Linked DNA regions of Mus musculus: region 2 is reported to be linked to region 1. Evidence: microRNA targets listed by miRTarBase, many of them from high-throughput screens and not tested one by one. Region 1 holds a microRNA gene; the other region holds the end of a gene's coding sequence.

Evidence for each region. Region 1 holds the annotated microRNA mmu-miR-671-5p (AGGAAGCCCUGGAGGGGCUGGAG, at 1,172-1,194, opposite strand). A microRNA usually pairs through its seed, bases 2 to 8, with sites in the 3' UTR of a target mRNA and lowers its output. Matches are read on the target gene's strand: a 7mer-m8 pairs with bases 2 to 8, a 7mer-A1 pairs with bases 2 to 7 and ends in A, and an 8mer does both.
Region 2: the mRNA of Limd2 is a reported target of mmu-miR-671-5p. Seed matches in the 3' UTR shown: 7mer-A1 at 2,708-2,714.

The regions. Positions count from the first base shown.
Region 1 is chr5:24,588,947-24,593,325 of GRCm38, reverse strand. Mir671 (microRNA 671) reads right to left here and starts at 1,212; the gene lies at 1,115-1,212. It overlaps Chpf2 (chondroitin polymerizing factor 2), which reads right to left. Exons shown (of 4, transcript NM_133913.2): 2 at 3,665-4,229; 3 at 2,835-3,017; 4 at 839-2,257. The coding sequence ends at 962. Smarcd3 (SWI/SNF related, matrix associated, actin dependent regulator of chromatin, subfamily d, member 3) reads left to right here. Exons shown (of 13, transcript NM_025891.3): 11 at 1-101; 12 at 208-309; 13 at 522-704. The coding sequence ends at 575.
Region 2 is chr11:106,155,040-106,159,418 of GRCm38, forward strand. It overlaps Limd2 (LIM domain containing 2), which reads right to left. Exons shown (of 5, transcript NM_172397.4): 2 at 4,309-4,379; 3 at 4,123-4,167; 4 at 3,896-4,035; 5 at 1,215-3,794. The coding sequence starts at 4,350. The coding sequence ends at 3,635. Map3k3 (mitogen-activated protein kinase kinase kinase 3) reads left to right here. Exons shown (of 16, transcript NM_011947.4): 16 at 1-1,617. Gm10840 reads left to right here and starts at 4,349. Exons shown (of 2, transcript XM_030246469.1): 1 at 4,349-4,379. The coding sequence starts at 4,349.

The DNA of each region.
Region 1 (4,379 bases):
TAAACCAGCTCAAGATCCAGAGGGACTTCATGCTAAGTTTCTCCAGAGACCCCAAAGGCTACGTCCAAGACCTGCTCCGCTCCCAGAGCCGTGATCTCAAGGTGAAGTGGGGCTCCGGGAGCACTGATGCGAAGACAAGCACACGGGCTGGGGCAGGTGGGCATGCACCTCAGGGGAACTCACCACAGGCCCCGTGCTCCCTCCCAGGTGATGACAGATGTGGCAGGGAACCCCGAGGAAGAACGCAGGGCTGAGTTCTACCACCAGCCCTGGTCCCAGGAAGCCGTTAGCCGCTACTTCTACTGTAAGGTAATGGAGGCCCAGGAACCCGAGGCTCCCTCTCCTTCAGTCCTGGCAGCCTTGCCTCTCACCTGGCCACAGTTACCTGTCCACCACCCTACACCCCCATGCAGTAGTCTCCTGGTTCCCAGACTCTTCCAGGGGAGGGGTGCCAGGATGGGGTACCCCTGGTCACTCACCAGGATCACTGTAACCCTGCCCCGCTCACACTTCCTCTAAAGATCCAGCAGCGCAGGCAGGAGCTGGAGCAGTCGCTGGTCGTGCGCAACACCTAGGAGCCCGTGAACAAGCGTCAGGGTGGACCAGCCACTCCGCCCAGCACAGGCCCTGGGCTCTGGACTCCCCCTCTCGCGCTGTGCGGAAGGTGGGGAGGGCTGGATGGATTAAAGGTCACGTAACAGACAGCAGCCTTGTGGTCATTGTGGACGGGGATGGGAAGGAGGAAGAGAAGGGGAAGGCAGTGGAAGCCGGCAGACAAATTCTCCACAACCCTACCACAGATTCTTCTTCTTACCCCTCTCCCTAGACCTAAAAACAGTTTGGCAGAAGATACGTTTAATAACATTTCTTATTTTTAAAAAAATACAGTGGCAAGCCCTCCATCTGTCCGTCACCTTGCCTTGCCCTTCCCGGGGCTATGGCAGATACAGGGGTGGAGAGGCTAAGTGCTGTTGGCCTGTTCCTGTTCAAACAGAGCCATGGCTAGCTGGGTACGGGCCCCCAGCCCCTCCAGATTGCTGAGGCGACAACGGTGGTACAGTTCCTCGCTGAGCCGGGGGCTACAGTCCCGCAGAGAGAACTTCTGCACCAGCCCTGGCTCTACGGCTCGAAAGAGGTGGAGCCCTGAGAACCGGAGGAAAACATCCATCACCTCCAGCCCCTCCAGGGCTTCCTCCTCTTCCTGGCCTGCCAGTTCGCCAGCCAGCCGGGCGCGGGCTGCCAGGTAGTCAGCATTGTAGAAGCAGCCCTCTGCTGAAGCCTGCCGGTCAAATCTGCCCCCGACCGGAGCCCCCCTAGAAGGGTCCACACCAGGGGAGGGGGGATCAGCCCCAGGGACACCTGGGGGAGATCTCTGTGGTGACAGAGCAGGGTTGAACTCCTGAAAGTGGACCGGAAAGAAGGCCTGCCAGCCCGAGATTGCATTCATACGGCAGCGGTTGAGGACTTCCGACCCAGGTCTTGTCCACACGGTGGTAAGGAAGAAGAGTGTGTCCACAGGGTGTTTCTTGGAGATGACATCCATGAGTCGCACCTGCGAAGGGGCCTCTGCTCGCACAGCGAGCCAGGCCAGCCTCGCCCCTGGGTACCGTCGTTCTAACTCAGCTGCTGCAGCCTTCACTCCGAGAAATGGGTCAGGGCCCCCTCGGCCTTCCCGGGGCCCATAGACCAACAACAGGGTGAGCAATGCATGTTCTCGAGGCTCCAGAACACTGGCAGCAAAGGCCTCAAGAAAAGCCAAGGCGGCCGGAGCTTCAGCCACCAGGAGTGGCAGCACCAGTTGCACCCGGGTAGCCTCGGTGACATAGGGCATAGGCAGGATTTCCACTCTGCTCAGTGGCCTCAGCAGGCTCACTCTGCGGGCCAGGGAGCGTCTGTGCCCTCGCTGAGTCACAGCTTCCAGCAGCAAGTCGAGGGTGTATTCCATGCCCCTTGCAGGGTCAAAGCGCCGGTAGCCATTGAGAAGCCGCTGCTTCCGGAAGCGCAGGCGGGGCTGATAGCGCCGATTGAGCTGCTCCAGAGCTGTGTCCACAGCGTCCCCTACATCTGCCCTGCTAGCCCCCTGCAGGGGACACTTGGGAGCCCCGTCTGCACAGGCGAAGGTGTGTTGCTCCGTGAAGTAGTCCCAGCCCAGCACCTCGAAGCGAGAGTGTGGAGTGAAAGGGGCCGGGAGCCCAACAGGCCAGCTTAGCCCTGCCTCCCCCTCAGGGGTCAGCACCGTCAGGTTCCGGATCTGGGCCTAAGTTGGAGGGAATGCAACCAACATTAGTGCTGGTTCTGAGATTCCACCCGGCTCCAGATGCCCAGGCTCTGGGGGTCCATCAGCAGGGCCTGGCTAACCACCGAGTCCCTTGCCCATAACTGTCATAATCTAAAATACAGAAGGGAGGCGAGGAATGCCCACCTTCACAACTGCCGCCAGGACCATCTGCTTGGCAGAAGGAAGCAGATCTCAAAATACACAGTTCAATACACTTTCAATCCCGCGCTCACAGGACCAACATCCTCTTCATGATCCTCTGACCTATCTATCAAATCTATACCCCACTTCTGATGACCCCCACACTACAGAATTCCCCTCTTCTATCTTTTGGGCCTTTAGCACAATTCTAGACGCCTAGAATGCTGCTGCCTGTCTCTCTGGGCAGAGCACTAATGTAGTTTAAGTAAGTTTCTGGGAGTTTACCTACAAATTTGACAAGCCAGAGCTTACTGTAGCTGGACCCCAGGCTGTCTCCACCCTAGCCCTGGACTCCCCAGGACCCCTCTAAGCTCCCAGCCATGGCCTTCAGGCACAGCTCACTGCAGTGGCTCACCTGCAGTTGTTCTATTTCGCTGTAAGCCCGCTCCAACTCCAGAGCACTGAAGCGTTTGTGGAGCCGGTACATGAGGGTGCCCTCGGGGACCGGGTGAACGGCGAAGGCACTCAGGAAAGCAGGGCTCTCCTCCTTCTCAGGGTCCCTATTCTTGGCCAGTTCGAAGGAGCGATACTGTTGCCCCTAGAGGGACCAATCAGACAATCAATGCTGCACACATAAGCTGTGGTTCCCCAAAGCCTTGGTCTCCTTAGCACTCACACCTGTCACCACCACCGCTCTAGAAGGGACTGAGAAGCAGTGGACCCCTAACCTCCATTCCTGCTTCTAATGCTCACATTTTGGAAATAAGGCAAATGGGCAACTAAGGGCCTCCTCTTTCCCCAAGAACCCCACTGCTCAATGAGAATACAGCTGTAGGACATCCCAGCAGGCAGGTGTGGAAGATGTCTTGCCCCTGGGATATCAGCCTTCTATGATAGAGCTTTCCACCTTGGGGGTGGGGGTGGGGGTAGGGCTAGGGTGGTGAACTCTAGAACATTTTCACCTTGTCCTTAATTGTGATGTGCACTGGGTGTGGAAAAGGGGGTGGGGAGGATGGCAGACAGGAAGGTTGATGACTTCAGGCACCTCTTCCTGTTTTGTTCAGGGGTCCCTAAAATTTCACACTTTTGATGGCCCCAGGGCTGTAAGGTGAGCAAGGGAGAGCGGAAGGGGCTAGCTGGCCTCTGGGAAGGACAAAAGGATGTCTGGAGAATTCAGTTTGGACAGCAATCATTCAGTCACTGCCAACCTTTGGGGGACTGGGACTGCCTTGAAGGGGCTGTCACCTGGTGCTGTGAGACACAGCCGATGCCCAGAGTGTCGATGAGGCAGCGGCCAAGCCATTCATCAGGCCGGGCACTGAGAATGTCCCCTCGGCAGCCATCCAGATGTGGCCGCAAGCGCAATAGGAGACTCCGTGACAACAGGTAGCCAAAGCCCCCATGGCAGTACCGGGCCTGCTCTCCTGTACCAATGAATTCCTCTGCATGGCCTAAGTACAGGTCTTGGTTGATGCTAAGGTGACCAGCAAGAGCTGCCAATCTGGGGGCCTGCACATATGTGTCGTCCTGCATGATGAAGAACCAGTCATAGTCTGCCCCAAAGTGTGTGTGAAGGTGGCGCAGGGTCTCTGACATGAGCCAGGCAGGCCGCTCATCTCCATGAGACACCACCTGCATCCCTGCAGGAGCCCGGGCCCCTCGCTGCCCTGTGAAGTAGAGTAACCGAGGGAAGTGATGTGCTACTGTACGGTTAACCGCGACGGCCAGGGTGGACAGTGTGGCTCGAGAAGTCAGGACAGCCACCAGCAGGCGCTCACGAGAGCCCAGCTCTGTCTGTATATACCGAGTCCTACGGAGAGACCAGAAGATAAGGGGTCAGCTCCTGAGTCATTAAGGGAGCGTGTACCAGCCTAGCACATACATTCCTAGGAATAAAGGAGTGCATTGGGAGAGGGGAGAGACCCCCCTCCCTCATCACTAATAACTAGCTACCGGGGTG
Region 2 (4,379 bases), not on the chromosome of region 1:
CAACACAAGTCAGGGCACCTGGTTCTGGGCAGCTCAGCAGAGTGCAGGGGGTTGTCTCAGGCTGTCTGCATCTCAAATCTGTCAGGCCTGAGCCCACTCCATGGGAAAGTCCTTGAGCTGCCACAACCGTGTCCAAAGCCACCAGCTGTGTTCCTCAGCCCGACCTGTCCACTTGTCATCAACCTCATTCCCTTCTTGTTCCTCCCACAAAGGAGGATGCCAGTAGGGGCTAGGGAAAGAGTTATCTCCAAGCAGCTTAGAGTTGGCCATATTTACCTCAGCCTGGGTGCTGGTCCTTTCTTCCAGCCCCTTTCTTCCCCTCCAAATGTGCCTATTTCTAGAGCTCCTCCCTCCTAACTCCCAAATTTTTGGGAGTTATCATTAAAGGAAAGGAAAAAAAAAAAAAAGAAGCCAGTGCCCAGGGATGGGCATCTCCAGGGAGCTGGGGATTAGTGCCAGGCAGCTCTTTGCCAGCCATGCCCACTTCCCCATGGGCACAGAACAAGCCAAAGCCTTCGTTGTATGTTGACGATGCACTTTTATGAATGTAGTTTCTATCGCTGTTTTTAGCCTTTTCACATCATGTAATGTGAGGCCTTGTACTTGTTAATTTATATCTCAGATCCATATTTGATGGTTTTATATATATATATCAATTCTAGACTGTTACCGGTGATGGACTCCTGAAGAGAGAACAGAAATTGAAAGCAGCTGGTTTTGCAGATATGTGTGTTGCACGGTGCCAATTGGGCCTGGGCCCCTCTGTTTTATTTCCTTTCCCTTGGGGGTCTGTCAGGCCACTCTCTAACTGCTCTGAAGCCAGTGAGCAAAGTCCTGCTTCCACCTCAGCCTTTGCCCAAAGTAGGGACTGGCCCCTCTTCTAGACCAAAGCTGCCAAAAGGCAGCTGGGCCTCTCCATGACCCCATCCTGATGGCTATATAGCACCCTTTAGCCTATCCCTATCCACACCCCGAACCCAAAGGAGATAGAGATTGGTGGGGTGACAAGATGTTAGATGAGACAACTCTGCTTGTCACAGGTTCAGGCTCTCACGGAGCTCCCCCCATATCCCCATGGGGGGGGGGGGGGAGTGTATTACCTCATAGGCAATGTTTCTAAAATGAACTTAAAAGTAAACCAACAAATTCTGCACTCCAAAGGGGGGGTGGGGGGGAGACACCTTTTTTTGTGCCAAAAACTGTGGACATGCTGGTTCAGCAGCCTCAGGACCAAGCTGTTAATTTATTTTTTTCTTATTAACAAATCCAAATGACAAGTTGTGGGCCTCCAGGGTGGCCTGGGCCCAAAGGTTATGAAGGAAGGTTTCCTAGCAGCCCTTGGCCTGCTGTGCAAAGATGCTACACCACCTTCATTTGTTCTTCATTCCATGGGGTTTATCTGCCTTCACCAACCCCACATGGAAGGGCCAAGCCTGGGTCAGGTGCACGCTGCCACCCTCCTTCCCCTCCCTCCCACTTGCCCAGCTCTGTGTCTGAATTGTGGAATGTGCAGAAGAACCTGCAGCCATAGTTATTGACTATATCTTGACTGAGGGCTTGCAGTGCAAAGCCAGGCCAGTGCATTACTTACAATAAAAGGGATCATTTATATCAGAAGGGTCCTGTGACCATGCTTTCGGTTAAAGGTGGTGGTGGGAATTTTTACAGGGATGGGTTGGGTACAATGCCTAACACCCAAGTTGAGGCCTCTTAAATAGAACTTGAAATGGCTGCCAAAAGCAGCCTGTGATAACTTGGCCAAGGTGGCCCCTCTCCTTCCCTTTTATCCCAGCGCGTCACTGGGACAGCACTGGTTGTCCATCTGAGCCGAATCCATCAATAGCTGAGTTCCTAGGACCATTCATGGCATTTTGTAGTCTTCCTGGCCGAGGGGTTTCCCTTGGTCCCTTACAGAACATCAGTCAGAGGCAAGGTCTCACTATGTAGCTCTGCTGTCCTGGAACTCACTACATAGAACAGGCTGATCTTGAATGCACAGAGACCCACCTGCCTCTGCCTCCTGAGTGCTGGTATTAAAAGCATGTGCTGCCACGTCCAGCCCAGCCACTGTTTCTTTACTGCAGCAAGAGACCATCCTTGTCCCATAAATCCAAGGCTTTGTCGTGCCTGCTTCCCAGATGCCCACCTGAAGGAAGTCTACAGTGATTCACCCATTAGCAAGACCAGAGGCCGGGCTGCCTAGCAGCCTTTGACCTCTTGCTTACCGATTCATCTGTCCCATAGGCAGTTTGCAGAAGCCAGGAAAATAGGGCTTGGGGCGAGACAACTCAGACTTCCACTGAGGGAGCATCTTCACACTTGCCTTGTGCTTCTGCTGTGTGATGTCGTCCCTCAGTGTGCATGAACTCTGAGGAGCGCAAAGTTTGCCCCTGGAGGTCCTGGCACAGTAGCTGTGACATCCCACTTCATACAAGAGGCTCCAGGAAGATGACAGTCATGAGGAGAGAAGGTGGAAGACGTTGTACTGGCAGCACTTGATAGGCTATGGATTCCTACCATTCTTTGCAGATTTCTAGGGTAAAGGACTAGGAGGAAATTGGACAGCTGGAATCAGCTAGCAGAAAGGCAGACACTAAGGTCTTGGCCAAGTCAGAAAGGTTCTCTTCTGTACTCAAGTGTAGTGAATTAACCTCTGAAGAACCGAAGCCAGGCATGGATGACACAGGCCTTTTTAATCCCAGCACTTTGGAAGCAGAGGCAGGCAGATCTCTGTGTTCTAGGCCAATCAGAGCTACAGTGAGACCCTGTCTCAAAAACCCAAAACATTTGTGTGGTTGCAAGCCAGTGTGCCTGGCTACTCTGGGACGAGGATACACAGTGGGATTTCAGGTTTGACAGCTTAACACCCCAAGGTGGCACAGACCACCAGCCCCTTTAAGGCCAGGAGTATTGTGGGCTGTCCTCCATTCCCCTCGCTATGAGGAGTCTGCTGCATGCCTGCCACAAAGCATCCCCATCAGGCCACACAAGAGAGTCAAGAGCTGTTTAAATGTTTTTAAAAGAGGGTTGATCACAACAGAACAGCACAACAGATGGAGGAGCATAGCTACTGCCGACCCTGTCAGCTGAGGCTCTAGCAAGAGCTTTAGCTTTGTGGTGCAAGGGACCCCCAGACCCTGAAGGCTGCAGGCTGTCTTGCCTCTTCCCCAGCCCTCCCCCCTCAGCGAGGTGGCATCTATGAGGCCCAGTAGATGGCACTCTCCCTCTTCCAGTCTCTGTGGCTCATTACCAGGCTAAGGGGCAGAGGTAGATGGGGAGACAAGGGGGTACACAAGGCCCAGGTGGCAGTGAGGGAGCTTGGGACCCTGAGGAGGGCATGCTGACTCCTTGCTGGAGAAAAGGCACCTAAGTAGGGAAGCTGGGCTTGTGGGCCTCCCAGGGAGCCGTGGGGTGAGATGAGGTGGACTAAAGGACACAGTATGGTGAAAATTCCAATTCTGGTTCCCAACGCCAACCTCCCATGGGAAAAGTAAGGAATCCTGGAGCAGAGCCTTATGCCTGAAACCTGTGTGAGGGAGCCTCATCCTCTCCCACCCCGCGCCCCCGGGTTAATCTCCTTTCCACTGCCCAGCGGGAGGCCATGTGCTGGGAGGGAATGGGTGTTAAAGGGGTCTCAGGCCGTCTTGGTGCCTGAGTCCACCTCCTTGTGGGCCCAGAGCTCCTTGTGCTGTTTACGACCAAACCCTTCATCGTAGTTGCCTTTACTCTTAAACAGCTGCTGAAAGTGAGGTCTGCAGTAAAATTCACCGTGCATTGCAGCATAACTGCCCAGGCTGTGGAAGCAGAGAACATCTGGGTCAGTCTGGGGCAGGGCGGGAAGGTAGGGTAAGGGTGGGCAAGTAGGTGGGCAGGCCGGGACAGGGCAGGAGCGCACCTGAGTTTGGTGTGGCAGTGTTTGCAACAGAAACAAGAGTTGTGGAAAATGAGCTTGTCTGCCACCAGCCGCTCCATCGGGTACACAGTCTTCTGGCAGGCTGCACAGGTCTCCTTCACCTGAGCCCGCAAGCTAAAGGACTGTGGAGTAGGAGCAGAGTACACTTAGCAAGAAGCCGGGTTAGCGCCGACCCTTTCCTCTGCCCACACCCACCCTTAGGACCCTACCTTAGACCGCTGTACCGTGCTGCTGCCACTGCTGCCTTTGGCTTCCTGGGGGAAGAGGAAGAGTCAGAGGGGTCAGCTCTCCGGTGGCCCAGCCCACATCCCAGGGGCACTCGAGGTGGCACAAGGTGCCAAGCAAACAAGCTGCTCTTGTCCCCTTGACTCCTCCCCACCTGGCTGGACACCTACATGAGAGGGGGTGGCCTGGGCGGCTCCGGCAGCTTGGAACATGGCTCTTCAGAGGTGCTTGGTGGCCCTGG